Linked DNA regions of Oreochromis niloticus. The protein of the gene in region 3 interacts with the protein of the main gene of each other region in a biochemical or structural test. Links are inferred from orthologs where the notes say so. Each region holds a gene or a part of one and is shown on either strand. Other genes may lie near its edges. The genes, in order: aire, ncoa6, crebbpa and ets1.

Region 1 (7,577 bases), on a different chromosome or scaffold from region 3:
TTTCACTTATAAGCAATTATATTTAATTGTTATTAATTGTTAATTGTTATTTAAAAATAATACTAATTTGTCAGGTTAACTCAGTATATTTGTAATGTTGGATAGTGCCGTACCCGATACTTGCTTAAAATAGCATTAAAAAATATTTCAAATCAAAATTAACGTTTACACAATTAATACCGATATCCAATCTCTGTTCAGTTTCGTACCTTCAGCAGTTGCTCTGTGATGATGTTTTTATCCGCCAAACCATAGACCAGGGGGAAAGGGTCATCCACAGCCATAGCGATGTCAGTTCGCAGCTCCCTCAGCAGCGAGCGGAGGTTTGTGTCCCTAAACGCCTCGACTCTTGACATGATCTTCTTTTGTGTGCAAGTGAGAAATGACCTGACACGGTTTGAGATCATAGATGAAGAATTTCAGATGTGGGGGGTGTGTCGCTCACAGGGAAGGTGCACTGCTTCATGCTGATTGCATAGATGCATAAGCCATATCTTAAAAACTCCTCTATTTTTTTCATCCTGTGTTTGTGCTTTTAATAACGCATCTATGACTCTATGAAAAAAAATGAAGCTACTAGCCTTTCATTTCTGAGACTTCCCTCCAGGGAGGCCAGCCCTGGACCTTTTGTCTCTTTTCAGTTCATTTGTCCACTAACAGCACTAACGGCCTTCATCCAGGGGAATACCTGTCCTCTTACATCAGGAGAGCAGAGTGAAGTGACCTGATGTGCGACAGTTTTCTTCTTAAAAGGTTCTTTCCACCTCAACTTCCCCTCACCTGTCAGGTTTTCACACACTGACTCACCACAGGGAACTCCGCATTCGTGTGATAATTATGACTTCGCCACAGGCAGGAGAACATTAACACTGTAAACAGTTTAATGACTGACAGACTGATTGCATGACTGGTAGCCTACTATGCTTTATGCCTATTTTCCTCAGTTGTTATTCTGTTAGTTTGTTCCTCTATTTCTCATTATTCTACTAAAAAGGCCTAAACAAAGAGGAACCGGTCTCTCCTCCAAATATACAAGAGAATGATAAAATAAAAATCGTCTAAGGTTAAGGCTTGGGGCTTGCCTTTTACTAGAGAGCATTTGCCTGCAGTTTCCACTAATTCAATTTCATGTCATGTAAATATCCATTAAGTCTAAATGCCAATTACTTTAACTCATAAATAAGGTTAGGAGACAACTGGGTAGCTTGAGAAATATGCTCACTAAGTCCCTTAGTTCACTGCAACTAAGTTTAGCATTAAAAAGGCTACTGCTTTAGTAGCCAAAAAAATCATCTGTGGTTTGTGTGCCAAACCATATGAGGGGGAAATGGTCATCCAAAAACGTGACAAGGTCAGTATAAAATCTCCCGCAGCAAAGAATTCAAGTTTTAGATTCTTTAAAAGTCTCAATAACAACTGCCTCGTTTGTAAATGAGATACAGAGACCTGAGGCCTGTATTATGAAGCAGGATTTAATCTTATCTGGGTGACTTCAGGATTAACCCTGAGTTTACAGTACTGTGAAGGTGGATCATTTCTTACCAGGATATATGGTAACGGGTAAGGTGACTTATAGTTAATATGCTACCTGTAGTTTCAGGTTAGAGATCAACTAGTACCTAATAACTGCTTGCTGCCCAATCAGTTCTCCAGAAGAACTCTCCGACCTGTGGAATAGTACAGCACAAAAGTCTTTGTGCTTCCCCTGGTGACCATCAGTACTGCTATAGAGTCTTGGGCAACTTAGTTTATTGGATTTTTTTTCCTGTTGGTTGCAAACAATTTGACAACAATATTATTGTTCCATAAGCAATATATGATCCTAAACAGAGCACCTGACCTTATACAAATTTGTGCATCACCTAAGTTTGTATTTTATTTTTGTATTTATTATTTACTTTCAGGCCTTTAAACATCATTGGGGGTTCAGCTGAAAGAATAAAAACTAAAACTATCTTTTAAACATTAATTTAATGAAATACTTTTTATAATCCATCAGGTTCTCCCATGTCTTAATGATAGAGCTGCTAATATTGATGAATCTGTTAACTTACACAATCTGTATTTTCACCGGCTTTTGTTCCTGGAAAAACATTATTAATATTGCTGCTCTTTTCCAGTCTTACAGGATAAAGCACTTAAGCCACATACTGTTAATATGATATTACTCTGGGGTGTTTTTACTCTCATACACACTGCTGTGTTGCTTTCAGACTTCGTATTTTCTCATCAGTTTCATCTTCCTTTGAAAAACCATCTTCATGTGGCGGCTTATCCTGATTTCCAATGTTAGGCTAAGTGATTCAGATAATGGAGAGACACCCTGAGTATGGTGAGCTAATGCGTAATACAGGCATCTGGAAGGGTCTGAGATTATACTGGTCCAGTCGCTTATTCTCAGAGACTACTGTTGTTAATTTTGATTTCATAGTTGTGAGGAAGTTATGAATGTTTTCATGTTTTAGGAATGGTCCATAGTTTGTCTCTTTTCCAACCAGTTAGCTAATTAAGCTAAACTGTAGCTAAAATGTCAATTGAGGTTTCCTATGAGGTAAAGCAAATATAATTTCAATTTATGTCACCAGGCAATGTCACGAAAGGGTTCTCATATAAAACATCAAACAGGTGAGGCTACACTTTTTAGTGTTTTTTACTGGTTGTTAATGTTAAGAGTTAGATAACAGCTAAAATGCCTAGCTACCAGTTAACAACTGATATCTGCATAAGCACACATGAAGTGCTCATTACATTTTCATATTTAGTTATTAAAAACACAAAAACATGGCATACAACATAACTAAACACTATATATTGTAAGTAAATGCTGCATATCTAAGGTCAGATTGTGTTCATAGCTTTAGCTTAGATGCTATCAGTGTCTTAGCGTATCTTAGCCGTTACTAACCCATTTGTTCCCAAGAAAAATAAGTGCTGTGTAAATGTAGCTGCGTATTTTATTCAATTACTAGTTATTAATCACTTTAAATATATTCTGTCGTTTTCTATTTAATGTAACTAGTGTAGTGGTTTAAACCTGCTTGTGGAAACTCTCAACAACTTGCCATATCTCACATTTTCTCAGAAAAAACAGAAAGTAAATAAAATAGAAGAGTAGATAATTTTGCTACCAGGTAAATGTTGATGGTTAGGAGAGTGAAGCCCTTTAATCTGTAATTTATTAATCATTAAACATTATTACATTATTCATACTGGTGAACAAGGACCACTTCTACAGAGGGACGTTCACAACATACATATTACATTATTATATACAGTGCGGTGCATTACAGTGGATTGTTATATGTGTATTACCGGGATGGAGGGATGGGGAGACTGGAAGGACAGAAGGATAGCGGGAGGAGAGAAGGAAGAGGAGAGGACTTTTAGGAGGGTTAGGGAGTTGTGATAGTAAGTTGTCTCTTTATTACTTCTTTTTTAACCACAGTACAGTTTGTTCTATAAAAGTTAAACCCATAGAGAGATAGAGTGCCACATTTTCACAGCTACTGTTAGGTGATCCTACTGGAAGTTGTGGGAATATCAAATGAGATACGTCTTGTCATGAGATGCTATAGAGAGATGCTATAAAACATTCTAAGATAGTCAGCCTCCTTCCAGAGTACGGAGACCCTGGAGGGCAGGCCAAAGGTCAAAGATCAGATCAGCGTGCATGCGTGCTGCAGACATTCAGACATGTTCAGCTATTTAGAAAAATGGCCGACCCTCCTGCTATTTCTCCTTCTGTGTTTAGGCATCATTTTTGGTGCTTTCCCTTTTTATATATAAAAAATACAAAACATAACAGCGAAAAGAACTCCATTGGTTTCCTCATTTTTCTCCAAACTGTTTTTTTTTCAGTGTGTGTGTGTTCATTTTCATTGCAACAATTGTTTTCTTCCCTTTTCTCCTCCAGTCACTTACATATTGACAAAGTATACAATATTTTACAACTGAACAAGACTGAAAGATAACATTTGATTTGTCCAATCAGATACAAGGCCCACATCCTATATCCAATTGGAGAAGTCAACTGGAAGCTAACCAGTAGTAAGCAACACAACAAGCCTATGGTGTGAAGGGAGCTGTCCAAGTGCAGCTCTGCATTAACATGAGCACCCGCCCTCGGGCACAGCTGGTTCCGCTGGTTTGTCCAGCTTGATGTCAATCACTGGAAATTGGCACGTTAAGGAAAAGTCACATGGCGAAGTAAACTATTTGGCCTATACATGCCAAAAATGATAGTCATAGATTCCCGTAAGCTAATGCGGACTCAAGTCCTGTATGCTACAATTACTTGTTTCTATCTCCTTCCCCTCCATAGTTGTAGTTTTTTGTCTGATCCAATGTTACGCAGCTCCATCTGAGGCCCCAAAAACTTTGCCCCATGTTTTCCCCACAATCCTCAAGACTTGTAGACAAACCAAAATATGTTGAGCTTCATAGTATAGTATAGACAAATCCATATGTTATACTACAATTTAAGGGCACATCTTTAAAGTTAAATGTTTCTTGGTTTGTAAGTTTCCATATAATAATTCCCATTTATTGATAAGAATCCCTCACCTTCCTTACACAACCATCCTCCATCACACACCCTCCTCTGCTGTCACTTCCCAATCAGCCACTATGTGGTGCTGTGCCTGTGCATCCACACCATCTTCCTGGCTCTGTGTATTCCTCCATTATTAAGCATAAAAGGCTTAATGGCCGATTCCTCGGCAGTCTGTCTGTACGTGTGCCAGCAGCCACTAAGAGATTAAAAATAAGCCGCCTATTGCTGGGCTGTTTGGCTATCGGCATGGTGAGTCACGGCGGCTGTAAAGGATACTGCCTTCAGGATTTGCATCGTCCAGGCTTTCCATTCCAGGTAGGGCTGCTGCAACTCGACGAAACAGCTAGGAGGAGAACAAGAGGGAGGAGGTTAGAGAGCAGGAGGCAGCAGGCTTGAAAAAATGGTAAAATGTAAAAATGGGGGGGGGGGGGGCAATGCAACACAAAAATGTTCACTAGTGCTTGTTGAAGCTGGCCTGATTTGAACTTTTATACTCTTGAGGAAGATTTACTTTAAAATTTTGAATTTCTAAAATATAACTACAGCAGTAAGATGAATCTATTGAAGTAGAAAGTTTGATATTTTCCAAAATTGTACTGGATGTTAAGTGGTATAGCTAGTAACATTAAATGTTAGTGCCTTCGATGTGTGCTTAAGTGCAGTAGTTGAGTAAATGTACTAGATAGATATCGGTAAACTAGCTTTTGTTTTTTCTTTTCATTCATCTTTAGCCAGCAAGAACTAAATACGGAACGCACATTTTACCAACATTGTACATATTTAAACGTTTGATTTATCCACACCGGGTCTGTGTGGTGGCGTGGTCACCTTGGAGGGATTTGGGGATTGGCAGAGACTCTGAAATCAAGTGATGGCAAAAATGCTGTGAAATCTGGTAAAACTGCAGGGATCACCTGTTTGACATTGCAGCCTGTCTTGGCACTGGTCTCGATGAACATGACGTTCAGTTCTTTGGCTCTCTGCTCTCCTTCCTCGATCGTGATTTGCCTGCAGGAAAATCAGGCCAGACTCAGCATCTCGGGCTAATTCATTCGGCAGTGACGTGTTGCTTCAAACAGCTTTTTTGCTCATTTAAGGAACCAAACCTCCGCGTCAAAGATCACTCGACTGTAGCTAAATGTTAGAGATGATTACAAGCCACTATCTTTACCTTTTCTCTTCCAGGTCTGTCTTGTTGCCTACTAGCATGATGATGACATCACTTCCTCTCTCTGTCCTGACATCGTCAATCCATTTGCAGGTCTGCTGGAATGAATTTACATCTGTGGAGCCCAGAGTTTCCTATTACATCCGGCTTTTTTGTCTCAAAAACACAACAAAAACTATATATTTTTACTCAAGTGTTTGTCTGTTTAACACAGAAACACACAACTGTATCACCTGCATCATATACAGGCTACAGCTTTCTGCTTACTTGTAATGTCATAGACAACCACAGCCACCGTCGAGTCTCGTATGTAGCTCGGAATGAGGCTCCTGAAACGCTCTTGTCCAGCTGTGTCCCACAGCTGCAGCCTTACCTGCATGTGTGCACACACACAGACACACACACACGCCTTCAGCATAAACTGCCACACCACACACAGCCTATAAGTACACTTCCAGGAGGATAAGCCAGTATCAGCTCCTGTGCAGGCTGGCAGAGCACAATAATATCCTGACAAAGAAAAAGTATTAATACTGGCTAAAGCAGATGATCCATGGGTAAGGCTCTGAGTTATTAGGGCCAGAAAAGTCAGCTCACCAAAGCTGTTACTACCAGAAATAACCATAACATAATCACATTAGTGTGTGACGGAAGGGAATAATTAAGCAAATCAAATCAAGGATTAGTCAAAGCAGAGAAGAAATTGGGCTGTTTCCTACTTAAAACCTCAAGTCATCTGCGCATGTATTTAGAAATGAGAATTTTAAAAATGAAGATCAAGGTTTCCTACTGTCCGGTCCTCCAGGTACATTGTCTTCGATAGGAAGTCAATTCCAATGGTCGCCTGTGGAGAGGAAAGAACAAAAGAGGGGGAGAAAATCATCAGCAAAAACCCAATCATTAAAATTTAAATGTTTCTCTCCACCATCTGTTGTTCCTAGCAGAGTGATTTTTGTTCAAATACATAAAGCTGTTAAGAAAGGGGGGGGAAAAGGGAGCCAACAAGCACAGAAATTGAATCAGACTGAAACACTAATTTAATTTGTGCTGCCCTCAGGGCCCAATCCTTCAGACTTGTTATGTACCAAACTTCTGAGAAAGGCGAAGGAGGGAATGATATATTTTCTCTTCTTAAAGAAACTAATAGTGCTGCAATGCTGTTCCTGATCATGTTTGAATAAATGGCATGATTCAGATCAGGACATAATTCGTGAAAATCTAATATACTGAGTGTTTTTGACCAAAAAGCACTCGCTGCAATAACGGTCCCATATTAACCTTCAACATTCAAAAGAAAAATTGAATTTCTTTTACAGTTATAAGCAATACCACCAATACCTCTTTCGTATAGATGCTAATCAGCAACGCCATCAATCAATGCTGCTTAATAATTTAAAATTGTTTTTAGGTTCTGGATCTGTTCCAGATCTCACCTGATATGTGTTGTCGAAGCTGTCATACATGAATCTAGTGATGAGAGACGTTTTCCCCACTAAAACAGAGCACACACAGGTTGGTTTCAGGGTCCAGACACATCGATATATGATCTCAATCAACATAATGAAAATATGCTTCATTGATGTGACAACACCACAGTTATATATGAATATTTAACCAGCGCCAGCTATCAAGCCAGTAAAAATGAAAAGAAATGAAGGAGGGGGGAGAAAAAATCCATGACTCACTGGAACAAAATCTGCCCGGTAATTCACCAAAAATATGCCTGAGTTAATATGTGATTATGAATCAATGAATAGCTCAAAATAAGGGCAGCAAAATGGATTTCAGTTCAAAGTAAGCAAGAAAAATCTGTTATCTTAGATTTCCTGTTATCAAATGTGTAAATGTTTCTCTTCA
Region 2 (7,982 bases), on a different chromosome or scaffold from region 3:
GTCAAGGCGCACATGTGTATTTGTTTGGGAAGCAGCCAGCCGGGCTGCCTGGGTAATGGAGGAAATGAGTGTGCCGACTAGAGAAAAATCAACCGAGAGCGTGACCAAAGGTTACCAAAGAAAAAACCGATGATGGTTCCAATGCTGGAGAGCTTGTCGAACAGAATGGCCACAGAAGTTCCGTAGTGTGAAGGTATTTCGGCTATTTCAAGTCTGACAAAAAACAGAGTAGCCCGCACTGTAAATTGTGCCGAAAGCAAGTCTGGAAATACAATAAAGCGGTGCATGCTCAATCTCTGGCTGAAAGCGCTAATTCGTCATTCGGCTTTTGTCAGACTAAAGTAACTGTTAAAACTGTTTGAAAAGCTAAGCTATACAACAAGGAGAGATTGAGAATTTCCTTTTAGTTCTCAGTTTATTTGATATTGACAAAAGTTAGTCAATTTTGTCTGTTCTTCTGTAAAACAAACTAAGATTTATTTTCTAGAATTAAAATTTTGTTTCTAAGTGGAATTGACAATTTAGTAGTCTGTTTTGTTTGTTCTATTTTGAAACTTAAACGCTTTAGCGGCTGCCTTTTGTGTAGTTTGCAATATTTGCCTTTATTTATCTGAAACTGAAGTCTCATGTTCCTTAAGTACATCTACCCTGTTGAACTTATTATGGGAAATAAATATTTAAATTAAAACAAGCTGCTAATTATTTCACATTTTACTTGTGAGCAACGGCACATTTAAATCTTACAAATGTAGTTATTTGGCTTATATCGTGATATATATCGTTATCGCCTGAAATGAAAAAAACATATCGTGATATGAAAAAATCTTATATCACCCAGCTCTACAAGCAGCCTGTTGCAAAAACATCATTTGTTCCCATGCCTTTGAGGTGAAACAAAAAAGATGTGTCCTTAAAAAGGTGAGGTACAACAGAAATGACAGTCCTAAACTAAACTACATAATGCAAAAGAAGAGTACAATTCTTAAGGAAAAAAGGCAGAGGTATGCCAAATTACACATGAAATGGACCAAAAACCAGAGTGATGAACTTACAGAGTGATGAACTGAAATTTGAAAGTTCTGCAGAGCTCTGGAGCGCAACTGTGACCAATTTGGTCACACATGTGACCTAATTTCAAAATGGTGTGACTAAAAAAAACATCCTAGGTCGCACCGGTGCAACCAGCCATTCGAGTAAAAGAAAAAAAAGTCTCAGAGTGGTCAACAACAGACACACATTATGCCCAGATCGTGGTCTAAACCAATCACAGATAGTCAAGGGCAGGACCTCTCTGATTGCCCGTGGTCCCGATATTCCTGTAAGCTTACATGTGTGTACGTTTGAAAGTGCAGGCAGATAGAGAGAGGCAAGTAGCCTAGGCTGATAGAAGTGGATGTAGAAAAGATGAAAAGAACGACTGATAACTTTTTCGTTAAGTTAAGGCATGATCTGTCTGAAATTCATAGCCAGTGCTCTGACATGGAGCCATCAACATCTCAGGTTATGTCTAATACTGGTCCGGAGACAGCATCAGATAATGAGCCACATATGATCAACTCCGAGCCAGAGCCCACTGAAAGTTTCCTGGCTAAGATACAGTAAAGCTGACAACATGATGCACTGCATTTACTTTTGTGAGTGTGGAAAGACCATGGCCGGCAATACTGCATTTGTGACTGGTGCTAATACGTTTCGAATTGATCAAGAAGGCCAAATTACAGTAGTTGGCCATCTGAGGGGCATGTGACAGCAATGGAGCATAGTCCATAAGATATCAAGCTGTTCTTTTGTGCTTGTGCACCTAAGAAAAGAAGTTAGGTGCACCAGTGCAAGCGTGGCAAAAGGTTAGTCTGTGTCAAATGCCAGATAATGTATGAGAGAAGTCAGAGAGAGAAAAAGTACCCACAACCATCTGTAAAACACAGTGGAAACTCTGTCTTGGTTTGGGGCGACATTGGAGAAAAGCACCAGATTTTCATCCACTATACAGTAGCACGGTGGCATGATTGTTAGGCCTGTTCCATAGAACTATTCCTAAAGGCTACTTAAGGAAATGACTTGAATAAAAGAAAGCTTGCCTAAGAGTTTACGCTGTGTTCAAGAATAAAGATGGTCATATCAAATGTTGACTTTCAAGTTTGTTAGAATTGTACAAACTCTGCTTTTACCTCATATACTGTATATTTCCGCAAGTTTAACTAAATTTCTGCATCATTTTCCAAGCAAACTGAACAGAAATAAGTAGTGGCTCAAGACAATGGCACAGTACAGCAAGTATGTAAATGGCCATCACTGCAAATCATACGTTAACACACCTGTAATACAATGACGTCACTTTGACCGGTGATGGTGAACTTATTATCGAAGACATGTCAAATAACAGAAAATTGCTCTGTAAGAGGCAGGGTTATTTAAAGTGCAGCTTAATTTACATTACTGCCAATTAAAGTCTTACAACACATACATTTACTGCCATGAACCGTAACTTGCTTTACAACAACGGCCCAGCAGTAGCACGGGCCTTAGCGCAAACATAAGCTAACGTAAAGCGATCAAAATCCCCAGGGCGACCACATATTCCCCCTATCCTATGCTGCTGTGCATTTTCTTGCCCTCTTGAGAACACTTAATAGCCGAAAGTAACACGGTTTTCACCACACTATGAAAGAGGATAAATTAACGTCAAGGCTGTCCCCCCTGGCTTCTCCAGAGGCTCCAGTTCGCGATCGTTAGCTACGTTAGCTGGATAGCACAGAAGGTAATTCAGCATGAATGCATTGAAACGCAATGCATTAGCTTTCCAATTCGCTAAGTTTAGCTTACAACATATTATGATAAGTAAAATAGGCCTAAGAAAAGCAAAAGCCTTACCACATATATTCATCTGAAAATAAGTTGAAGCAGTCGGCATCTGCTTGCTAGATTAGCTAACAAAACATGAATCAAATACAGTGTAAATTTACAGCCAAGTTACAACTTCCGGCGATGATTTTCAAAATAAAAACCGAGGAAGTAACGTTTTTTGTAATAAAAGTAACTGAAGTAAATAAAAAAAAATTACATAATTCTAAAATTTTAATAATAACAATAATAATAATAATAATAATTATTATTATTATTATTTCATAATTCGTTTTTGTAAAATAGCAGCTGAATAATTTTAAAAGGTAGTGGGGTTGTCACATTGCTAGTTACTACCACTTTAGAAAGCATTATGGAATTCTGTCAGTATCACACATTTGACCTGACAGTCCATTTTGGAGTGGTCAGTTTGTGGGAAAAACACACAACTTTGAGTAGAGAAAGTATTTTGTAATTTTCACGGGTATGACTAATGTTTATTGTTGTTTTTGTATTAATAGATCACATAATATTAGTAATTAAAAACTAGACCCCATATACCATTTGCTACTGATTTTAAGTTCAGGTCTTGTGTAATTTGACATCCCTAAACATTTTCTCTCCATTTCCCTTCCTTAATGATTTCTTGACAGAAACACTGAAACCATTTGCAATGATGCTTCAGTAGATGTATTAACTGCAGGAATAGATGCATCTGTCAGGTCTTGTGTCAGCTCTTTAGTGGATTTCTTTTCTCTTTTTGTTAAGGACACGTCTTTGAGATACTCTTTATCTGGGGTACGTAGTTTTCTCAGCCTGGCACTTCTTCTGTCCTCCACTTGTCCAGTTTACTCAATTTATTTTAAGGATACACTCCACACACTCTGGGAATCACCTTGTTAAATGTGAAAATACAATTTTATGCCAATCAATCTGCTATATTTTGCATTTTTCATAGTCAGTTAAAGATACAATTAAAAATCCTTTGCTAAGGTTTTTGTTGTTTGAATGATTCACAGGTCAGTGTCAAATGATTTAACTGAGAAAAACAGATTCCTCAGAAAACTGTGAGTTAAAAAGATAGGAACGAAAATGTGTGGTAACGTTCAAAGAAAAACTTTGAAAAGTCTTCAAAAACCCTGGAGAACTACTGCTCAAGATCACTTTTTAAAAATTACAAAAAAAAAAAAAATCTGACAGAAATAGGTGGTGGCTCAAGTGTTTTGCTCAGTGTATGAAGGCTCAAAAAGAGATAAACAATCCTTAATGTTTAGGATGTGTGCAAACATTTTATTTGTTGGGTCTGAACAGTGCTGATTTTTGTTAAAATCAGCAAACATGAACAAACAAAGAAACAAAGAGGCAGGTGCAACATCAGACTGTGCAAATGTGTGCCTTAAGGCATGGTACTCTGCAGTACTGGAAACAAGCATCAACAGTCATATTGCACTGGTGAGGGAGAAAACAAGGTGAAAACCCCAATTTGATTAGTCAGCACTGGCCATTCTGGATGCAAAGATCAAACACATTTTGTGTTCAAGTGCAATGATTTACAAAAGTTGCTGGCTCCTGAAATATTCTAGCTAATATAACAACAAAAGTAGGCAAAAAGTAAACAGAACATCCCTTCCTAAATATGTGCCGAGTGAATGCAATGCTCCAACAGTAGAAATAATGTGTACAGCACAACAAATGTTCATATAAAAATAGTCATTACATTCATTCCATCTCTAAAGAATTTGATTAATCCAAATTTAGGAACAAGTGTACCAGCTCTAAAAAAAAAAGAAAAAAAGCCTTCACAGGTTCAAAGTGAGAACAAAATCATGCAACAACTCAAATGTCTTAAATTATGTATTTAAATACGTTCACTCTACAGTAACTGATATTTAAAACCTTTTAAACGGAATCATATCCACTTGATGAGGGAAATTGATTGAGATAGGACGGTCTCATCACATTTGTGTACGACATATAATGCGTTTGCTAGTCTTAAAAATGGTCCAGAGAGTCACTGTTTGTTTGCAACAGTTAAAGCTGCAGCAGCTGTACCAAACAACATCTAATCACAGTTACACACCATATAACGAGCAGGAGAGTAAAAGCTTTAGCCTCTGTGTTCAGTTCAGGACAGTCTTGTTCATGTGTGACAATACACGGCTTAATCACTGGTGTAAATACTATCACCTTCACCACTCCATTTGATCTCACACGCGATCTGGTTTAATGGTGAAATGTAGTGCAAGAGATGAAAAGCAATCCGGTGACTCATATGCACTTTGCACCATGCATGTGCTGTTTAAATGGTGACTTCATGGCATCATTACTTTTGTTAATTTACATAAAACCTCTCGCTCAGGTCTAAACTAGCTGCTACACCCAATAATTTCTAACCTTTAAAGATTACAGTTTTCACCACCGACCTGGAGTGTGTTGGATAATAAGTTATGAGCACACCTAACATTTCTTTACCCTGCTCTGCATAATGCAGGCTGCAGACTGATGCCACTAAGGGTAAGGGTACTGAACACACATTTTCAACACTATGTACACCGTGACTGGACGTTACATGAGGATGTGGTAGAGTAATTGATATGCAAGATGGTGACCATTTTAGTATTCTTGTGAGCAAAACAAATTAGCTATCCAGGATCCCTTTCAGAATCTTTTGGTTATCTTTATCTGATCAGCAGCCTCCTCACTCTCTCTTTAGGCGTCATACAGAGTAAGTCTTACTATCTTGGCATTATATGTTTGTACGATTGGACGGATGCACTAAGGCATATTGGACATAGTAAGGGCAGAGGCATCAGCACTACGGGGGTCCTTCACTCCAATGATGAGGTCATTAGTTCTCCGTGTGCCCTCCACCAATGACAAAATATCTCTTTTCTCAACTATGTGACCTTTGGCTTCCAGCCCCTCCACATCCTCTTCTAAAAACTTGGCTGCAAGAGAGAAAGAGAAAGTGTGAGACAGAAGATGGTACTAACATAATGTTGAGCTAATAAAAACAGTAGCTGTGGGATCACAGTGTGGTTAAACTCTAACTGTACAAGGACCTAGTATATCAGGTTTGTAACCAAGCATGTGTTTTCTGGCTTTTGACTTATGACACAGATTCAAGGGCAAGATTAAGACAAGGTAGAAGGCAGCAGAGGCTCTGATTGAGCCAATGATCATCACTCTGCTGCTCATCTACCAGTCAATAAGCTCTGGTAGCTAAGAGATGGACCATTAATTCAACCATATGATAATTCATGATTCTACATTAGGATACCTTTGGATTAATACCAATAGATTCAGGCTACCTAGATTAGCTGGACACATTTTTCTTTTGTACTTTAGTGAACTGATTGGAGCCAAATATTGGGGTTTTTTTCACAAATATTTTTAAAAAATTTTTGTAGATTAGTTGGATCTATCTAGAAGCTTTCAGTTAGTAGTTTACCCCTCTTGTTAATATCAACAGAGCCAGAGGACAATAAAGTGTATTTCTAATAAACCAGATAATTCATCTGTCTGTTTTTTGTAACACAGTATTCATCTTCACAATTTTCCCAGGCAATCATAGATGTAGAGCTGCCAAGCTTTCTTCTTTTCTAAGAGCCCATGCACTAAGTTGCTAGATTACATGGACAGCCAGCAGAAGGTGTGTACACTGTGGTCATAACAGTTACCAACAATACTTAGGTAAGCTGAGACATTTAAATGAGGCTTAATTCTTACTAAGTGGCCCAAAGTGTGGCGAGAAAATATCCACTACATCTTTACACCACCAGGACCAGATCCATGAATTCATGTTGCCAAAGTATGACTCTGTTGTCTAAATGCTGCAGCACAAATCAAGACTCATCAGACTCATCAGAGCAGGCAATGCTTTTCTTCTGTAGTCCAACAAATTTCCCACGTGTGGGACTAATAAAGGTTATCTTATCTTATCTTAGTATCTGTTAGTCTATGTATAACTAATAAAGTGGCTACTGATTCAATATTATTATTCATAAATCCTGGACGTAACACAAAATTCTCGTGGGATTTCCACATATGAAATTAAGATTTAGGGGGTGGGTGTGGCTCAGGTCGTCCACTGATTGGAAGGTTGGTGGTTTGATCACCGGCCAAGCTGCTCTCCATGGATCAGTCTGAGTGTGAGGGTGTGTGCAAATGCAAGACAAAGCGCTTTAAGGCATAGAATGAAAGCGCTGTGTATGTGTGTGTGACTGAAAGAATTAGGCGTGTAGTAAAAACCACTTTGAGTGCTCAGTTAGAGAAGTGCTATATAAGTACCAGTCCAGTCCATTTATGCTACATCCTACTAAAACTACAGAAGACTGATCTTTTAACTAAGACACTTTACTGTTCCATGGAAACACTAAACCTTGGCATCTGCTTTCCATGACAGCAGAAGTACCTGCTGCTTTTCCTGCTCCTCCTCTACTTTGCATAGTGTACACAGAGAACACAACCTGAAGACAAAATAAGCAGTGGTACAAGGGTCCTACATGTCTCTTTGCATGGTGTTTACTGCATGTCATAGCAGTAATCATGAACCAACACTGTTATGCTTGGATCAAACCTGATAAAAGTGTCTATCAGTAAGAAAAACTCACAGTCCACTAGGAGGGTGTTGGGCTCCAGCTGCGGGTGGAGTCTTCCATATGCTAAACTGTCACTCATGTTTTTACGTGAAGACAAAACATTCATCAGCACCTATGAAGGATGAGAATAACATCAAAGTAAACTTCTGTCAACGTGTATTTCCACACTGATGAAAATAACTACGATAGTTACAAATTCCTCCAGTAATTAAGCAACCTGTGTTATGCCACTGAGAGCCTTCTCTCCATTGGATGATCCAACAGCTACGTATGTGCCACATAACCCCACGGCTGGCCTCACTGCTGTGGGCATCAAGAAGGACATGGGTCTTTTCCCAGGGTGGAGGTTGTTATGCTACACCAACCAAAAGAAAACAACATCCATGAGAGATTCTGCAAATGTGTTAAGAACAAATACATTAACACTGAAACAAAAAAGTTGCAATTACTGGGTTAGGCGATGAGCCCTGTGTTTTATTAGTCCATGAGAAGTCCAGAATCTGACTATTCAAAAGGATTCCTGAAGGAGTCACTATCCCA
Region 3 (7,581 bases):
AGTGTATTTTCACAGAAGCCTTTCATATGTTTAAATTTAAAAAAAAAAAAAAAAAAAAAAAAAAATTAAAACCAAAACAATGGGCAAAGGGAGCAGGAAGGACACATGGGAGTCTGGTAGTACATGTTAGGCCCAGACTAATGGGTATTCTTGACCGTAAAGCCTGTAAACTTGTGAAAAATCCCCAGGGGATGTTTGGAAGTGTAACTGTTGCACAGAAAACAGATCAGGTGAAGGACCTTGATTGATACAGTGAAAAATGTAACCGCTAATGATCATTCAACAAGTTCACCAATGGAAACATTGAGATTTTTAACTACTCTAGAGAGATGCTGTTAACGTTGGGCTCCAGCTAAAATGTCATTGTGGCGTGAAGTGAACCAAACAGCAAAAATATGCACTATAAATGAAAGGTTTGTGCTTCATGTACAGCACAAGGGAGAAAAATAAGAAAGAGAGAGAGACCTTTGCAGTCAAAATAAGTTTAAAAGGGCCACTGTTTTATCCCCAACACTTTGTTTTCACTGAAACACAAAATCAGGAATTGAAATTATAAATTGGTTAATTGCCGAGCCCTAGTTTAACTGTAATTCGGGGTGCTTCTGCATGTAAAGCATACATTACTTTCTGATTATGCTGAAGATATGAAATTAACTCATTTTTGTATCTTCACACCAGGAGCAACATTTTCCCATCACAGAAACAGCGAGCGCTGCAGAAATGCAGTTCAGCTACTCCACCTTTACCACACAGTACTGCAGACAGGTTAAGAGTGCTGCAATAACTCAGGTTTTCATTAAGGGCCCATGAAGCACCTCAACAAAAACACGCAGTCAATCAGATGAAAGAAAAAGACACGTTACTCAAGGGTTTTTTTTAAGTCTCCAGATGACTTTATAATTTCAGCTATCAACTTTGGAAGAACAAGTCAAAAAGTTGATTTAAAATAAGCACTAGTCTTGTTTTATAATAAAAATGATTTTTTAGGGCCAGGTGGGAACTCACATCCCCAATCTTTGCTTTCCAATTACAAGAAATGACAGATACAAGACAGGCATTTCCTAATCACTCAAATTCCAATACTCAGAGCCACATACAGATTTCTATCTTGCATTCCTACACATTTTTTTTCAGCAGTGCCCACGTCTGCTGAGATATGTGACGTTATAACCATATCTGCACTCTCTGCAAGAATTCAATAAGTTAAAGGAAGCTAGCACCATCCAGACTGAGTGTGGCTATGTAGGCTTGCTCAGGGATGGATGGAGTGGCCATTGGGATGAGTGAGGGTTGTTTTTTTGTTGTTGTTTTATAGCCGCAAGCTGAACCAAGTGGGCACAGCTACCAAAATGGTATCTGTTAATAGTCGTTTTCTTCTCTGACACGTGATTACACACACCTAAAATCGTACCTGAAATAAATGGAAATGGATGCAAACTTCATCAGACTTAGTCTTAACAGGTGAACAAACATTGGCATTAAGTGGTATGTGATTTGTGATTTTGAAGACAATATTATTTAAGCTAATTAGGGCCTAGGTTACCTCTGTGGGTCTATCATGCCATGTGTACCTGCTGTTAATGCAATGTCAGGCTACCACAAAAAACACCACCTTGCACCTGATTCGAGAAATAATTGCCATTTTAGTCTTGTGGTTTTTCAAAGCGTTACAGTACAGCAATGCAAAGCTAATGCAACACCTCTCAAGATAGCAGAAGTTTTATTTTTGCTGCAGGTAATTTAAAGTTAGAGTTGTTGTAGCCGTGACCACTTTAGACGCTCAGGTGAGTTCTTGTGCTGATCGTATTGTGTTAAGGTTTGCTGCAGAAGTCAAGGCGACTGTACCAAGACTGGCATTTGCGTATTAAGGGTAGGTGCAGTAAATGCTCACCTCAGAATGAAACCACAACACTGCGGTAAAACCACAGTAACTGCTACCCAACCGACTGGATAACGTGTAACGTTGCATCAATGGGATCGGCTGATTTAATGCCCATTAGTAAAAGAGAAGTTTAAGTGCAAATGTTCATTACATTTGGGTTTGTGTGTGCCGACAGTATCGAGGCCTTTACCTTGTCCATCAGACGTTGACAGGGCAGGTGAATTCAGCTTCGGCCGCTTAGAGAGTGGAGGTCCGGCGTCCAGCAGGTTTTCAGCCATAGTTGAAATCTTGCCTGGCCGGTCGCTTAAGTTGATGATTCTGATTAGCTTATACGTAGAAAGTTGTTCAATCACCAAAAACCTTCCCGGTTAGCACGTTAGCAAGCTGGCAGCCTGCTAACGTTGGCTAACTGGCTAATAGCTAGCTAATTGCCTGCTACCAGCTAAAGTAACTGTTAGCGTTTAGCTACTCCTCGCCGTGAGAGTCGGTGTCTTTTAAAAGAGATGCAATAGCGCCCCGCTTCGCCACCGCCATTCACCCCATGATAATCCAACACCCAACACCCACATTATTATCGTTAAATACCCCAAAATAAAATATTCCCCATGTAAAAATCGAGCCTCACACTGACGATCCAGTTAAATCAGGTGGATTGCTGCATTCCGGGAGAAAAGTCGTAATTTCTAGATGTTCAAAGTACCCATTTTGCGTGACGTCAAATTTCTTCATGCAAAAATCGCGCGAAGCTCCACAAAAATGCACAATTGCATAAAAATGCCGTATTTTTGCAAATCTCTTCGAAAGTCACGATCTGCTCTCCGCTTGCCCACGGTAAACAATACTGCTCCCGAACGGCGACAGGGGCTGAATCACCGCACTCTGAAGGGGAAATCAGATATACGGAGCTTTTCTGCCCGACGACCACCAATCCAATTCCCGTTTTTTCGCACAAAATGTCTCCGAAGCGATATTACGATTTCGTTTTCGGCAGAAGGCCGCTGTCATACCACGGGAAGGATGCTCGATTTCTACGTAAAACCCAGTGTTGGACCGAAATCCTAATTCCGAGCCACGACAAGATGGCGGCTGTTGATTCCTTCGGTACAAAAAAGTTTTTTTTTCTTTTCCAGATCGGCTGTAGAGGGGGAGGGGCCGCGCATTCACGCCCTACGTGAAAACACCATCACCGCTGACCGCTGGGGGCGCTACAGCACAACCAGTGATTCACACATGCACTTTACAACCCACTTGATCTTATCTTTTAAGTTATTTTTGTAAACTTGGGGCAAAATATATACATTAATATATAAAAGAAATATCATTTATAAGATGTTTTAATGCAAACTTAAATATTTTACCTTATTTTTACAAACTCACGTGATTTTTTCTGGAAAAAAGAAATTAGATATAAAATGTACATTTCAAGGATCTGAATTTGCTTTAATAACTGGAAAAATATGAATCTCTGCATGATATTGGAGTTTTTTTGACTACAATAAAAATACTCAAAAGTTTTCAGTTTCTAGCCACTTATTCGTCATTTTTTAAATCATATTTTACTGTCTTTTAAATTTTGTTATCAGTTTGCAACAAATTATTAAAACATACCTTCTTGCAGTTAAAATGCACTTGGTCAATATGAACTGTGCCCCAACTTCAGTCATCAGCTGGCTGCTGATAAAGATCACAACCCTGTCTCCAATTTTGAGACCTTTTAGGTTAGGCCTAATCCTCCCTAAAACCTGTCCAATTTGTAAGTTGCCTTTTTGAGAATCTCTAAGTTGCTTCCCTCACCTCTTATTTAGTTCTACAAATGCAAAACTAAATGACAGTACAGTCTGTCATCAGTCATTATATGCACAGAAATTCAACTCTACGTAACTTTACACGTCACAGTATGCTAGACAGTCCAAGCTTTCCGCTTGGAGATTTATTTCTCTCATACTGAAAAAAAGAGGAATAAAGTCATATAACTCACACATAAGCAAACAGACACACAATAAATCAATCTGATAATATGTGTCTCTTATTCATTGTTTTTGGACAGAATCTGACACATGCACATGTATAAAAAAATCATATGTGACAAAATAACTGCATATGTACAAACACTGAGTGCTTTGTGCAAATGTGTACAGATTACTATCACGTGTTGATAAATGATACATGGGTAATGTGCACAAAACGTACATTATACATCTCATTCATGAACATTAAACAAATACATTTCAAATCAAACAACACTGTTTAAAATCTGTCCCAGTGTAACTTAAAACACATACGGGTAGAATTTACTTGCAAATTATAATGAAAAGACGTGCAGCTGACATAATTTAAAATGAGTGACAATGTGATGCTTAAGTGCTGACACTCTATGCCTTTATGTATTTCCCTTATTTCTCTGTCATAAAGCAGAATCACACTTCTGCAAAAAGAAAAGAAAGGAAAAAAAAGAGATGACTGAATGCCATGAACTTATCCTTTTTTAAACTGGAGAACTATCTTCTGCCAAAACTGAAACAAATCATTTATAAATACACTGTCAAATAAGGACAGTATTCAGGTAACCTTAAATGAGCAAAGCTTAGTGATTTGAATTTCCTGAATACTGGAAATCTATGCATAATAATTAACATATATGTAGAATGACATTGAAATGAAATAGGATGACAGTATAGTACAGAATCAAACTAAAAATAAGGAGAGGACTAGCAAAGAAGGAAACTACTCACATGCAAACAAGTCTCACTCACACACATCTCCCCCTACTGCACCCCAGGTCACATAAGTCAGCAGCGTGTAATATTTTATTCATATGTGTGTGTACAGATTAGTGCTACCGGAGAGGTTGTGTACCCATGAACCTGTGGAGTTCTTCCTACGCCACCTCAGATCTATGGCTAGTTAGTGTCACTGCTGTGCATGGTAGGGCTGCAGGCACATGGCCTGAAAATCCCATAGATCATCTAACAACGCAAGGCAACAAGACGGTGAACTTTCCTTCACAGCTGATACTCGATAGTCTCCTTTGTTTGTGTTACATTGTGTGCTATGCTTCATTAGATCTGGCAAACAAGAGCAAGTGGAGAAAATGCACAAGTAGTGTAAATCTTTCAAAAAATAATGATTCTGGGCAACAAAAGCAGGACTCTTAACTATTTCAGCGTCTGCAGTGACGGCTTCTGGAGAAACCTCTTTGGATTTTCAGGGTATTAATGCTACAACGGTTATGATAATTGATGCTATGATTAAACATAGTCCACATTCAAAAGGCACAGGCTGTGTATGTCCAGAGAGCTTAGTGAAAGAGGTAAATAAACATGTTTTGCTACAGGTCCCGACAGCTACATAACTCATCCTTCTTGTCATTCTGGCATTTTTGCATGTGGACATATTTCTGAACAGAGAAAGGCCATCTAACCCAAATGCTGACTCATTTTTAAAACATGTGGTGGTGAAAGCTGAAAATGAGTAATCTATGGATAAGGCAATAGCAAACTGTCTCCATTTCTGTCTTTTTTATATGATTGAGTTGACATAAAACTTTATATCTCTCACACACTTAGGAAATATAAGAGAGAAGCACGTGCTTTCAGGAGAAAAGACAAAGCACGAAGTGAGGAAAGAGAAACGGGAAACGAGCAAGCGATTTAATGGGAGCGCCACCACACTTTTCCAGATGGCTGGTTTGTGTCAGGAGGAAAGAACTGGAAAGCAGCACAAAAAAATATCTGGAATTTATCAAAAAAGAAACTAAACCTGCACACAATGACCATTAATTTTCTCAAATATACAATCACAATCTATCCTCAGCATAATGACAGCTTGGTAAAAAAAAAAAAAAAAGAAAGAAAAAAACTTTCTGGAAACCAAAAACTGAAAAAAAAAAATACAGTCATACTTTCAGGCACCACAAACAATCAGCTAGATTAGGCTGCACTGCACCTATAATCACTCAATTAAAGTGGCACAATTTTATTGAATCAGTAGAGGCCCCGATTGGTGAAAACACTGACAGGATCAAGGTAATAAGTCCCAATCTTTCAACAGCAAATCACAAAGATAAAGGCAGATGACAATGATCTGTTGGGTAATCTGCACGGATGGACTGACCATTGTTTAATTTTTTTTTCTTTTAGCAATGAAGGCAACGAAAAAAAAGTCACAAGATTTAAGTCTGAGGTTTTACACACAGTACTGTGGAAACTGTCACACATCCCTAAATTGACACCGACGCCAACAGCCTGTGGACCACCCCATCACTGACCAAGAACTACGCAGTGATTGTCCCTCACAGTCCCATTTAAAGTTATACTTCACCTGAAATCCTTCGAGCATCAAGCGCTCACCTCATCGGAGGACATGGTGATATTCTGTATTTGTCTTACTGACTCCAATGAAAACAAAATTAAAGCACTGGCAATACTTGCAAGTATCATACTACCTGCCAGCATTATTAGGACTCTCTTATAATTAATAATGAGTGAAATCTGTGTTGTTGGTGTGGATGTGAGTGCGGTAAATGGGAGTGCTGAATTTATGGTAGTTTGAAAGAGTGATTCTCGTATTTTGGCTATTTATCAGGATTCCAGTAGGAGCAAATGGGATAGTGGCTGTATTCAAAGACAGGCCAACACGCTGCTGGCTTCCTCTTCATTCTTTTCATTTGGTCAAAACAAAAATACAAAATATCACCAGAGAGATATTTGGTCTTCCAAGCAGCCCGCCATATAAAGGAGTGGTTCTGATCAAAGAAAAAGCTGAAATATCAGCTAGCTCGCATCGAGACAATTTTACACTACCTGTAAAATTGGACATGTGTGAGAGGTGAGCGTTTAATGCCTGAAAGACAGATCCCAGTATATTTAAAGTGCCTTCCTGCATTTGTGATGGTCTCACTTTTTAAAACCACCTTTCTTCCAGATCTATAGTCCCTTGTCTGATTAGATTTTGTGGTTTTGATTCTCTCAGCTCTGTTTAAAGTTTCTTAAAAGCTATTTATTGGTAATAACTACTGAATACAAGTGGTCGAAAAAAAGAAAAACACTGTGCAAGACCTTTGCTTAAAATGTGCATTGAGCTGCTACACGAACTAAAATCTCTGCAGCCTGCATGTCCCTTGAAAGTGAGACTCTGGCACAAATGAATACTGTATTAAGCCCTGATGTCAAAGCACAATACATAAATTAACACTGCTTCATGTGATTCCCTCATTCTTCCCAAAGTTTCCAGCTCCGCCTGTCATGCTGCATTGGCACTTATATAAAATCTAAAATCATTTTCCCTTAAGTAAGGTCAGGACTTTGATCAAGTTAAAACAGTTGATATGGCACAACAATAATGATTTCTGTAAGAAATACTTGCATTCAAAATAAAAGCATGAAATAAGAAACCACAGCTTGTTCTGTAGTCTAACATTGTTAAAACTTGTTCAGTATTCTTATTTTTGTTCACTGTTCTAGTCCTGAAGGCACTTAATAACAAAAGCATCAACAACAACAACACCAACAAATCCCTCTTTCCCTTTTCAGCTCGTTCGCCATCATAAACTACTGTGCTCAACACAGGTAAAACCCGCCCCAGGACTCAGGCAACACTCCCATGAAAGACATCAAGTACAATCTTATAGCCACTGCATCCACTGGTTTTGTTTTTGACGTGACCAGTCTATCTTCCATGCCAAAGACACTTGCTTAAAG
Region 4 (7,923 bases), on a different chromosome or scaffold from region 3:
ACAACATGGAGTGCATAAATATCCAAAATCTAAATTTGCAACTCACTTTTGAGTAAAACAATGAGTGGTCTTCATATATTGTGGAGGTAATGAGTGATTCTGGGCACAGCCCTTGCAACCTGCTGCTGTTCACTCCATCCTTCATGTCTGGGGTTCTTTCATTGTGTTCATTATTTGTGCCGTTTGTGTGAACAAAAGATATGTAAAGAAAAGGACTAATTCAATGCATTACAAAAGGTAAGGTTTACAGTTACAAATGAAACTAATTGCATTTGTATCCATTTCATTTTCAACAAGCTGTTTGATTCTTTGAGTTTTTCTTTTTTTTTTGCAGCTGTTTTCTGCATACTGCCTTTGTGGAATACATAGAACTTAGATATTGTCTTAAAGAGAGAAAAAAAATATCAGAGCCTTTGCTTTTTGCTGATAATTTATGTAAATTCAAGAGAATAAAACTACCGAGGTGACATGGGCTCACCTTTTGACCAAGCTGCCCTTGTATACAGTAGTCTCAATTTCAAAGGCAAGCCCCACCACCTGAGCCAATTAGGAAACAGGGAGAGGGATCATTCTGTGTTTTGTATTAGAACGGGGTGGGGTTGCCATTTGCATGTAACCTCAGTCTATTATCCTAATGTGCTGGTGCTCTGCATACAAATGGAGGCATTTATTTTGCAGCACACTGGCCTTCACCCTTCAAATGCTCACCTGACAGGAATCCCAATGTTCCCAGCAACTGTCTCTGACTTTGTATTCAGCGCTACCATTTGGAAAGTGTTAAGGGTTCTTGCAAACACACTGCTGCAAAGCACAGCGCGGGTGGCTGAGCTGAGAAAAGTGCTGGTCTGCTGGGATTGCCTGACTCCAGTTTGATTGGTTAGTGCCAAGGCTGGAGGCCTAGGTCTCATTATTTACAATATTACTTGCTAAAGAGAAGTACACGGTGCAGGCTTGTTGTGCAACACAGAGGAGCTCGAAAGGGCAATTTCACAGCCGTGTAGAGAATTGTCTTGTTCAACAGCTCTGTTTCCTAACTTTTGATGAAATCATGAGGAACAGCATGTACAGATACAGGCACTATTACTGCAAACCCTGGTGGAGTGAACTAAAAAAGAAATAGAGTATCCTCCTGTAAGGTGATGGAATCCAGAGTTGCTAATACACTGACAAGAACACCACTCTAATGCTCCTGCACACATTCCTGCACTGAGCAGTTTGCACACACACACACAAATGCTCATTCACTCACACTCGTGGATGGCTGTGTGGTAGGTAGCCAAGGCAGTCTTAACACAGAGATAATTTACGAGGGAGGTCTTACCAGTGTGCCCAGACGGTCACAGGGGTGAAGGGCTGGGTAGGAAGAAACTGGATCCATGTAGTAACTCATCACGGACACTGTGGACAGGAGAAGCAGGGCCTGCTGAAGGGATCAACGTACAAACAGTGCAGGCAGAGAGAAGCAGCCTATCCGTCACACGCTGTTTACACTTTGTGTGTGCAGGTCCATGGTATATGTGCATGTATGCATAGGTGTGTGAGAGAGGAAAAGCTGGGAGAGGAAAGGGGGTCAAAAAAGAGATGAGATAATACGGGGAAATAGAAATTTGAGCTGTTTTTAAAAAAATACAACATCTTGTCATCATGTCATTTTTTACATTTGTTTTTGATTTACAATATATATTTGTGTTACCTTATTTCTGTTGACATGTAGTCAATCAATCAATATCTCACATTGCGCTACTTCATGGTTTAAGTCTGACAGGATGTTATTTTTTTAAGAAAATCTTTGGATGTTCTCAACAAAAATGGATTTCAGCTGAAGTAAATCCATCCACTGAGCGAATCTAACATTTCCACCACTTCTTCCACTGTCTTCCTCCCTCCCATTACACCAGTCTGCCTCCTCCTTTCATCTACCTCGCTTCTTCCTCCTCTTCTCCTTCACCCTCCTTCCTCCTCCTCCTCCTCCTCCTCTCCTTGCCGCCCTCCTCCACGCTTCTGCTTATCACTTAACATTGTTTACTCAAAGCAGCACCAACAAAAGAGACTGAAAAGTGAACTGAAGGACTGCATTAGAGGTGGGTTGTGATATGGGCAGTGTTGTGTTTCATACAGGTCTCATCTTCGTCACATTCATATGTTAAGCAATTTGGCATTTCTAGTCTGTGGCAGCTGCTGACAGAAAGATGTGCAGCCGCTCAATGCTTGCAGATGTTCGGCATATCAAAATAAATAAATAAATAAAATTAAAAAAAGATTCAAATGCTTTTATTCCCGTAGAAAGAAAAAAATAGCACAAAGTGAATAATTACTTCTGTCATTCAAACGCATGCCTACTTTTAGCCGTTCAAGTCTCTCTGATTTATTGAGAAAAAGGCAAAAAAATAAAAAATCAATAAATCAGTGCTAGATAAAACATCCATATGGGTCTAACTCCACATTTAGTCATATAAAGAGATGCTATTTATATATGAAGCTACATTTCGGAGCTCTGTTAGAAGTCAGTCTAAACCCCGCTAATTGAAGGCAATTAGCAATCCTGAAATTTCTTTTCTTCAGAGAAAATAAAATAAAACAAAAACGTTAAGGCAACTTTTTATGCGCAAAATAAGTAAAGGTGGAACAGGTCGGAAACAACGCGTCACGCATTCGGAAGAATTCCTGACGGGAAAAAACTAAAACTTTAAAGCCAACACTTTCCCTCTTGTGGATCAAAGGAGCGACGAGCGCAGATAATAACAGCGTCTTCTTATTCTACCACTGACCTGTAAGAAGATGCAGAAAGAAAAGGAGAAGAAAAAACAACAACTTTGCACTTACCGACTGCGGTGTTTAAAAGTTTCCTGTGAGCGCTGGACAGCTGAGTGTGACAGCTGAGCGGTGGACTGCAGAGATGCTGTACCTGCCTCGCAGCGAATCCCACGGAGGAAGAAATGATATGCACACTTTTAGTCCCTCCCTCAGTCCTACGGTGATCCTCTCCAAATCCCATTTTTCCTCTGTATGTAGTCTTTGGACTTCACATGTGGTTCGCATGCAGCCAGAGTAGGTGTAAACTTGTAGAGAGGCTGTGCTGCCATGCTTTCCTCTATTTTCAGTCAGCTTGTGTTTCAAAAGCTTATAATATCTGTATTCTCTTTCACTAAATATAATAGTGTATTTTTTTTTAGCTAAATTAGATTTAGGTTTGTTTATTTCCTTTTTTTTTTTTTGGTTTGTTTGTTCCTCTTCCTCTGTCAGAGTCATGACAGGGGGGAAACAGCAGGGAGGCAAAAAACAAAGGTTTTGACTATGATTGCAACTGTTGACTTTCCTGTGATGTTGTCCTCTGACACCGTTATTTGTCTGACAAATGCAATTTCTTTCTCTCTCTCTCTTTAAAACAACAATCTCAGATGTCTGAGCATGTGTGTCAAGCAGCAATTTTACATCCTTGTATTGTCGGTATAACCTGGCACAGTATCCCAGACTTCTCAGATCTGGCATCAACCTAGGCTGAAATTACCTTTTAAAGGAAACTGTGGCTGTCAGATCAATTTGTCTTAGCAGAAAGCACCTGCATATTTATTTACTGTACATCACTGACCATCATATCATTCTCCAACCTTTAACTGCATGCATGCGGGACACTGATTAAAGCTGTGGTAGAAACACTGACTGCTCTTCTGCGAAATGAGAAGCCCCCCCTTCCCCGACTACAAGGCAAAATCTACATCCACCTGTTCTGATAGAGGATAGTGATAACTAATCGAGAGTGCGGAGTCTTATCTGTCTATTTGCTTATTCATTGCCGCATTTGTTTGCTTATTTCCACGCTGGAAACTCACAAGCTTTCCACTGCATTGCTCCCTAACAGCATGAAGCGCCAGCCCCCTCCCCGACTGCTTCTTCTCCCCTCTTCTCTCTCTCTATCAGCTCAGCACTCAACACTTGCGAGGCATCTGAAACACCTTGTGGCTCCATGATAATAGCGTGACCCCAGTGCCGCATTTGTTTGAATTAGAAAGTGCACGGTCCAAACCTCCTGACAACCACTGCTCTTACCAGTAAATCTTAAGTCTGGGGGGTAAAGAGGTGTGTGTGTGTGTGTGTGTGTGTGTGTGTGTGTGTGTGTGTGTGTGTGTGAGTGAGTGAAGAGCTGTGGGGATGTGGGGTGGGGGTCAAGTCCAAGGTGAGAGGCGTGAAGAAGTACCATAAGGGGCTTTCTCAAGACCTCATCTGAATCCCTTGGTGTTCTCAGGGCCTCAGCACTCTGGGCCCCCAGGGGACACAGATGGGCAACACGTCGAGGGCAAAAGGCGAGGGTATGACTTATTGCCATGTGGAGAGAAAAAGCACGAGACGCGCCCCCGTGATGAAACCAAATTGAATAAAAGCAGGGGTGAATGAGATCCAGATCTTCAGCCGATGCCCTGGCAATGCTGTTTCAATTAGCCGGCTCACCAGTTCAAAGGCGAGGCCCCAGATACACTTCTGCTCTGCATGAAGCTACTATCATCACTTTGCCCCTTGCCTTTCACCTCCCCATTACGGTGCCATCTTTTTCCGCTCAGAGCCTCAGCCTGTCTGCTGGCTGTGCTCATGTTTTACATTAAACAGATAGTGAACGCCTTGCCATCGCAGTCGGTGAAAACCATCAGTCAAACAACCTGCAGGATTTTACAACCTTTACAATCACTCTCTTGGTTTGAACTGCATCTGCATCAGCTCTGAATTAAACTTATGTTGGGTTATTTTACTAGAAGAACAATGTTTAATACATTTTTTTCTTGTTTTTCTTTTATCTAAAACCATGTGAACTAAAGGTCATGACAGCATTATGTACAGCCCATATTGATACACAACCCCTTATATAAAATATGGTAATATTTATACTGAAATTACACTGTTCTAAAGCATCACTTTAACTACGTTTTTCCTTTTAGCTGCGATATATAGGAATATTCATCATCCTTCTTGTTTTCTTGATGGTTTCCTGTCAGCTCACTGCTCAAATGCTGCAGCCGTTTGTCCTCCACTGGTACCCCACATCTTGTTGAGCAGCTCCAGACTATGAATCCTTTTGTCTCATTTTCTCAATTTGGATCTTCCAAAGATAGCACTGACAGGTGATATTAATGGTCTTTTATTAGCATCGTCCTGATTGCTACAGATTTTTTGGAAGCGCAAGATAAAAAGAGCGAGGGAGGAGAACAAAAAAAGAAGGAGAGAGACAGACAGAGAGGGAGAATATGGAAGTCCTCCACCCACCACTTCTCACAGGAGATCGCCTCTCTTTGATAGCCTGCCCGAATCTGTTCCCCCCATAGAAACTGCCCTGCAGATGTTGTTGCTGTATGTCGACTACAAAGAAGGAGCCCTTTATGAGAGGAACATCTATTTTGGGCCTCAGTGTTTCCGAGCTGTGGTGCTCAGCGAGAGAAGTGCAGGCCTAATCTTTCTGCTGTTGAAAACTCTGTTTTATTCTCTGCCCATGATATTTTTAGATTAAAGCGCAGTTCTAATGAATAAAGTAAGAATGTAATGTTTTATGACAGTATCAATATGCCATCACTGTGGTGGACTTGGGCCTAGAACAGCCTACGTTGCTATTGGCATCAGCAGACAGAAAAAGGGGTGGGGGTGGGGGGGCACATGGGACAGTAACCTCAGTGAAATCACGAATGTGGAGAAGCCTTTGTTTCGGGCCTGACTATACTCGTTTAGAAGCGCTTGTGGCTCAGATTTTCATCTTCAGCCACAGAACCGTGACTTTGTTGCACTGTTGACTGCGAGGCAAAGGTCTCGGGGGCAATATTAGCTCTTGATATTATTTTTAATTAAGGCACCAATCCTTCAGCCAAGTTGTCCAAACAGTTCTAAATAGGCTCTGTAAATCAGACAAACATCCTCAATATTTGATGGGTTGAGAGTGTGCACTATAGCCTCCAGATGGTTTGTGTTTCTCAAGCGTTTCACGAGGGATGGTACGGGACAGCAATCTTCTGTTCGAGTGTGCCTCTTGACAGAGAAGTTCCTCCAAATCACATGCTGAGTCGCTGGACTTCTGCCTAGGTCTTCTCTCTCTCTCCCTCTCGTGCTCTCTTTCCCCGCTGGTCTTCTGACTCCTCTGTGTGTGGATTTATCTGTAAGCTATGTGTGTGCACGAACTGTAGCTCTTGCTTTTTTGCCAGTCAATACTTTGTTTAATTAATTCCATAACAAGCTGATTCGTGCTGAAGCTAACACTATGCATTTGGTCTTTTACCCCCACCCCCCCCAAAAAAAGGCCAGCACAGCTCACGATATCAGGATATCGAGCAGTTGTGTGTGTCATAGTCAAAGCTGTTCAAAGCTAATGCATTCTTTGATAAGTGCAAATGTAATGGTGCTTAGGAAAAACAAATCAAAACACTGATGTTTTACACTAAAAGAAAAAAAAAAGATGGGAGTGTAGTAAGATGAAAGGCAAGCAGTCTGAAGATGTAGGGAGAGGACTCGATGCACAGTCCAACTTTCACTGGTTGATAAGCTGCTGGCCTGGCGCCAAAATCCCCATCCCTACCCCCCTCAAACACACACATACTCACACACACATGTTCAAACACCCCACCCAGTGGTGAGCACTGACCCTCACCAGCACCACCACACCAACGCACACACACATACACGCAGCACCACCACTCCAGTGGCGTCTCCAGCTCGCTATCCCTCTTCATTAGTGTCCCAGAACGAGATGCTTGTCATGTAATTAACAGAGGTTTTCTGAATGCCTGCGTAACGCACGCTCTCATTAGGACAGCGAAAGAAAGGGCTGGAGCGAGAGAGGAGAGGTGGAGAGGCAGGCCTGGGAGGCACGTAGAGGGAGAGCAATCAGGGGAGACAGATGGGGAGAGAGACGGACAGGACAGGGAGAACATGGGAGGGGGGGGGGGATAACGTGTTTAGAGCAGCAAGAAAAACAGTGACTTACATGTCGAGGGGCAAGGTTTCTGACTTTCAGCGTGCCAGCTAGGGACACAACTGACAATTACTGGGATCTGGACTAAATTATAACGACTTACCTCAGTCAACTGCTATTCTCGTTAATATTCAAAAAGTCTTCTAGAGGTCGTTTAAGCCAAGCCCTCCTCGGTTTTCTCTCAGGGTCATCGTATTTAAATGTGATGTAAAACGAAACAGATAAGTTGAGTATGAATAATGAGTATAAGTGTAAAGGGAAAGTTACCTTAGCTGTGGAAAAACATGTAATTGTGCTTATGTTTGAATGACTATCAGCCCTGATGACCTGTCCTCGGTCTCTATGGTAGTCGAGATAGGCTCCAGCCCACTTATTAGTCAAAGAAACAGATGAATACTGCTGTATATTTCCCAGCAGCTAACATTTAGCAGAAGACTGCAGAAAGTCTTGTTGAAGCTATGCCAGGTATAAAGCAAAATTGTGCATGTGTCATCCGGAACAGTTGGTTCTCTGGTGGATACTGTACCTGTGTGACCTGAGTTTTCTTCATCTGACACAGGTGGAGCCAGCTTAGAGGCCTATTGTATACGCTTAGGCTGGCATCACAGTACTTAAGGGCAATTATAGTTCATGGAAGGCTAGACCCTTGAATTTGGAATAAGGAAAACACACAATACAACCTACTAATCCATAATTGGATTAGAGCAACATCTTTTAGCATGTGCACAAAAGCATCTGATGTATTAACACTTCTTTAAGTGTCCAGCACACTTAAAATGTAGTGATCACATGAAAGTTCATGGAGATGCCCAGTAATGTGTTCCATGAAAGATTTCCTTCACTGCTATTCCTCCGAGGAGAGCATTGAGTAAGGATAAGGCTCTTGCAGAGTGCATAAGGATGCCCTATGGGTGCCCTGATAGCATCACACAGCTGATGAGAGAAACACTGTTTACACACTTTTGTGTCACGTAATAAAT

The links.
Region 1: the proteins of crebbpa (region 3) and aire interact in far-western blotting, tested with the Homo sapiens proteins (2 studies listed by BioGRID). The link is inferred for Oreochromis niloticus from reciprocal best matches to the Homo sapiens genes CREBBP and AIRE.
Region 2: the proteins of crebbpa (region 3) and ncoa6 form a complex in vitro, tested with the Homo sapiens proteins (2 studies listed by BioGRID). The link is inferred for Oreochromis niloticus from reciprocal best matches to the Homo sapiens genes CREBBP and NCOA6.
Region 4: the proteins of crebbpa (region 3) and ets1 form a complex in vitro, tested with the Homo sapiens proteins (3 studies listed by BioGRID, with this or other methods). The link is inferred for Oreochromis niloticus from reciprocal best matches to the Homo sapiens genes CREBBP and ETS1.

Annotation. Positions count from the first base shown.
Region 1 is NC_031982.2:15,968,804-15,976,380, forward strand, and holds the start of aire (autoimmune regulator), read right to left. Parts: upstream 3,002-7,577; 5' UTR 408-3,001; coding exon 210-407; intron 1-209. Other genes in the region: rab6bb (RAB6B, member RAS oncogene family b), read right to left, coding at 4,104-4,168, 4,829-4,895, 5,467-5,560, 5,724-5,835, 5,988-6,093, 6,511-6,564, 7,154-7,212. UniProt on the Homo sapiens protein: Transcription factor playing an essential role to promote self-tolerance in the thymus by regulating the expression of a wide array of self-antigens that have the commonality of being tissue-restricted in their expression pattern in the periphery, called tissue restricted antigens (TRA).
Region 2 is NC_031984.2:16,681,522-16,689,503, forward strand, and holds the start of ncoa6 (nuclear receptor coactivator 6), read right to left. Parts: upstream 3,002-7,982; 5' UTR 2,872-3,001; intron 1-2,871. Other genes in the region: ggt7 (glutathione hydrolase 7), read right to left, coding at 5,617-5,789, 7,455-7,554, 7,660-7,797, 7,892-7,982. UniProt on the Homo sapiens protein: Nuclear receptor coactivator that directly binds nuclear receptors and stimulates the transcriptional activities in a hormone-dependent fashion. Coactivates expression in an agonist- and AF2-dependent manner.
Region 3 is NC_031971.2:30,620,799-30,628,379, forward strand, and holds the start of crebbpa (CREB-binding protein), read right to left. Parts: upstream 3,003-7,581; 5' UTR 2,161-3,002; coding exon 2,073-2,160; intron 1-2,072. UniProt on the Homo sapiens protein: Acetylates histones, giving a specific tag for transcriptional activation. Mediates acetylation of histone H3 at 'Lys-18' and 'Lys-27' (H3K18ac and H3K27ac, respectively).
Region 4 is NC_031979.2:15,937,422-15,945,344, forward strand, and holds the start of ets1 (protein C-ets-1), read right to left. Parts: upstream 3,011-7,923; 5' UTR 2,996-3,010; coding exon 2,824-2,995; intron 1,399-2,823; coding exon 1,322-1,398; intron 1-1,321. UniProt on the Homo sapiens protein: Transcription factor. Directly controls the expression of cytokine and chemokine genes in a wide variety of different cellular contexts. May control the differentiation, survival and proliferation of lymphoid cells.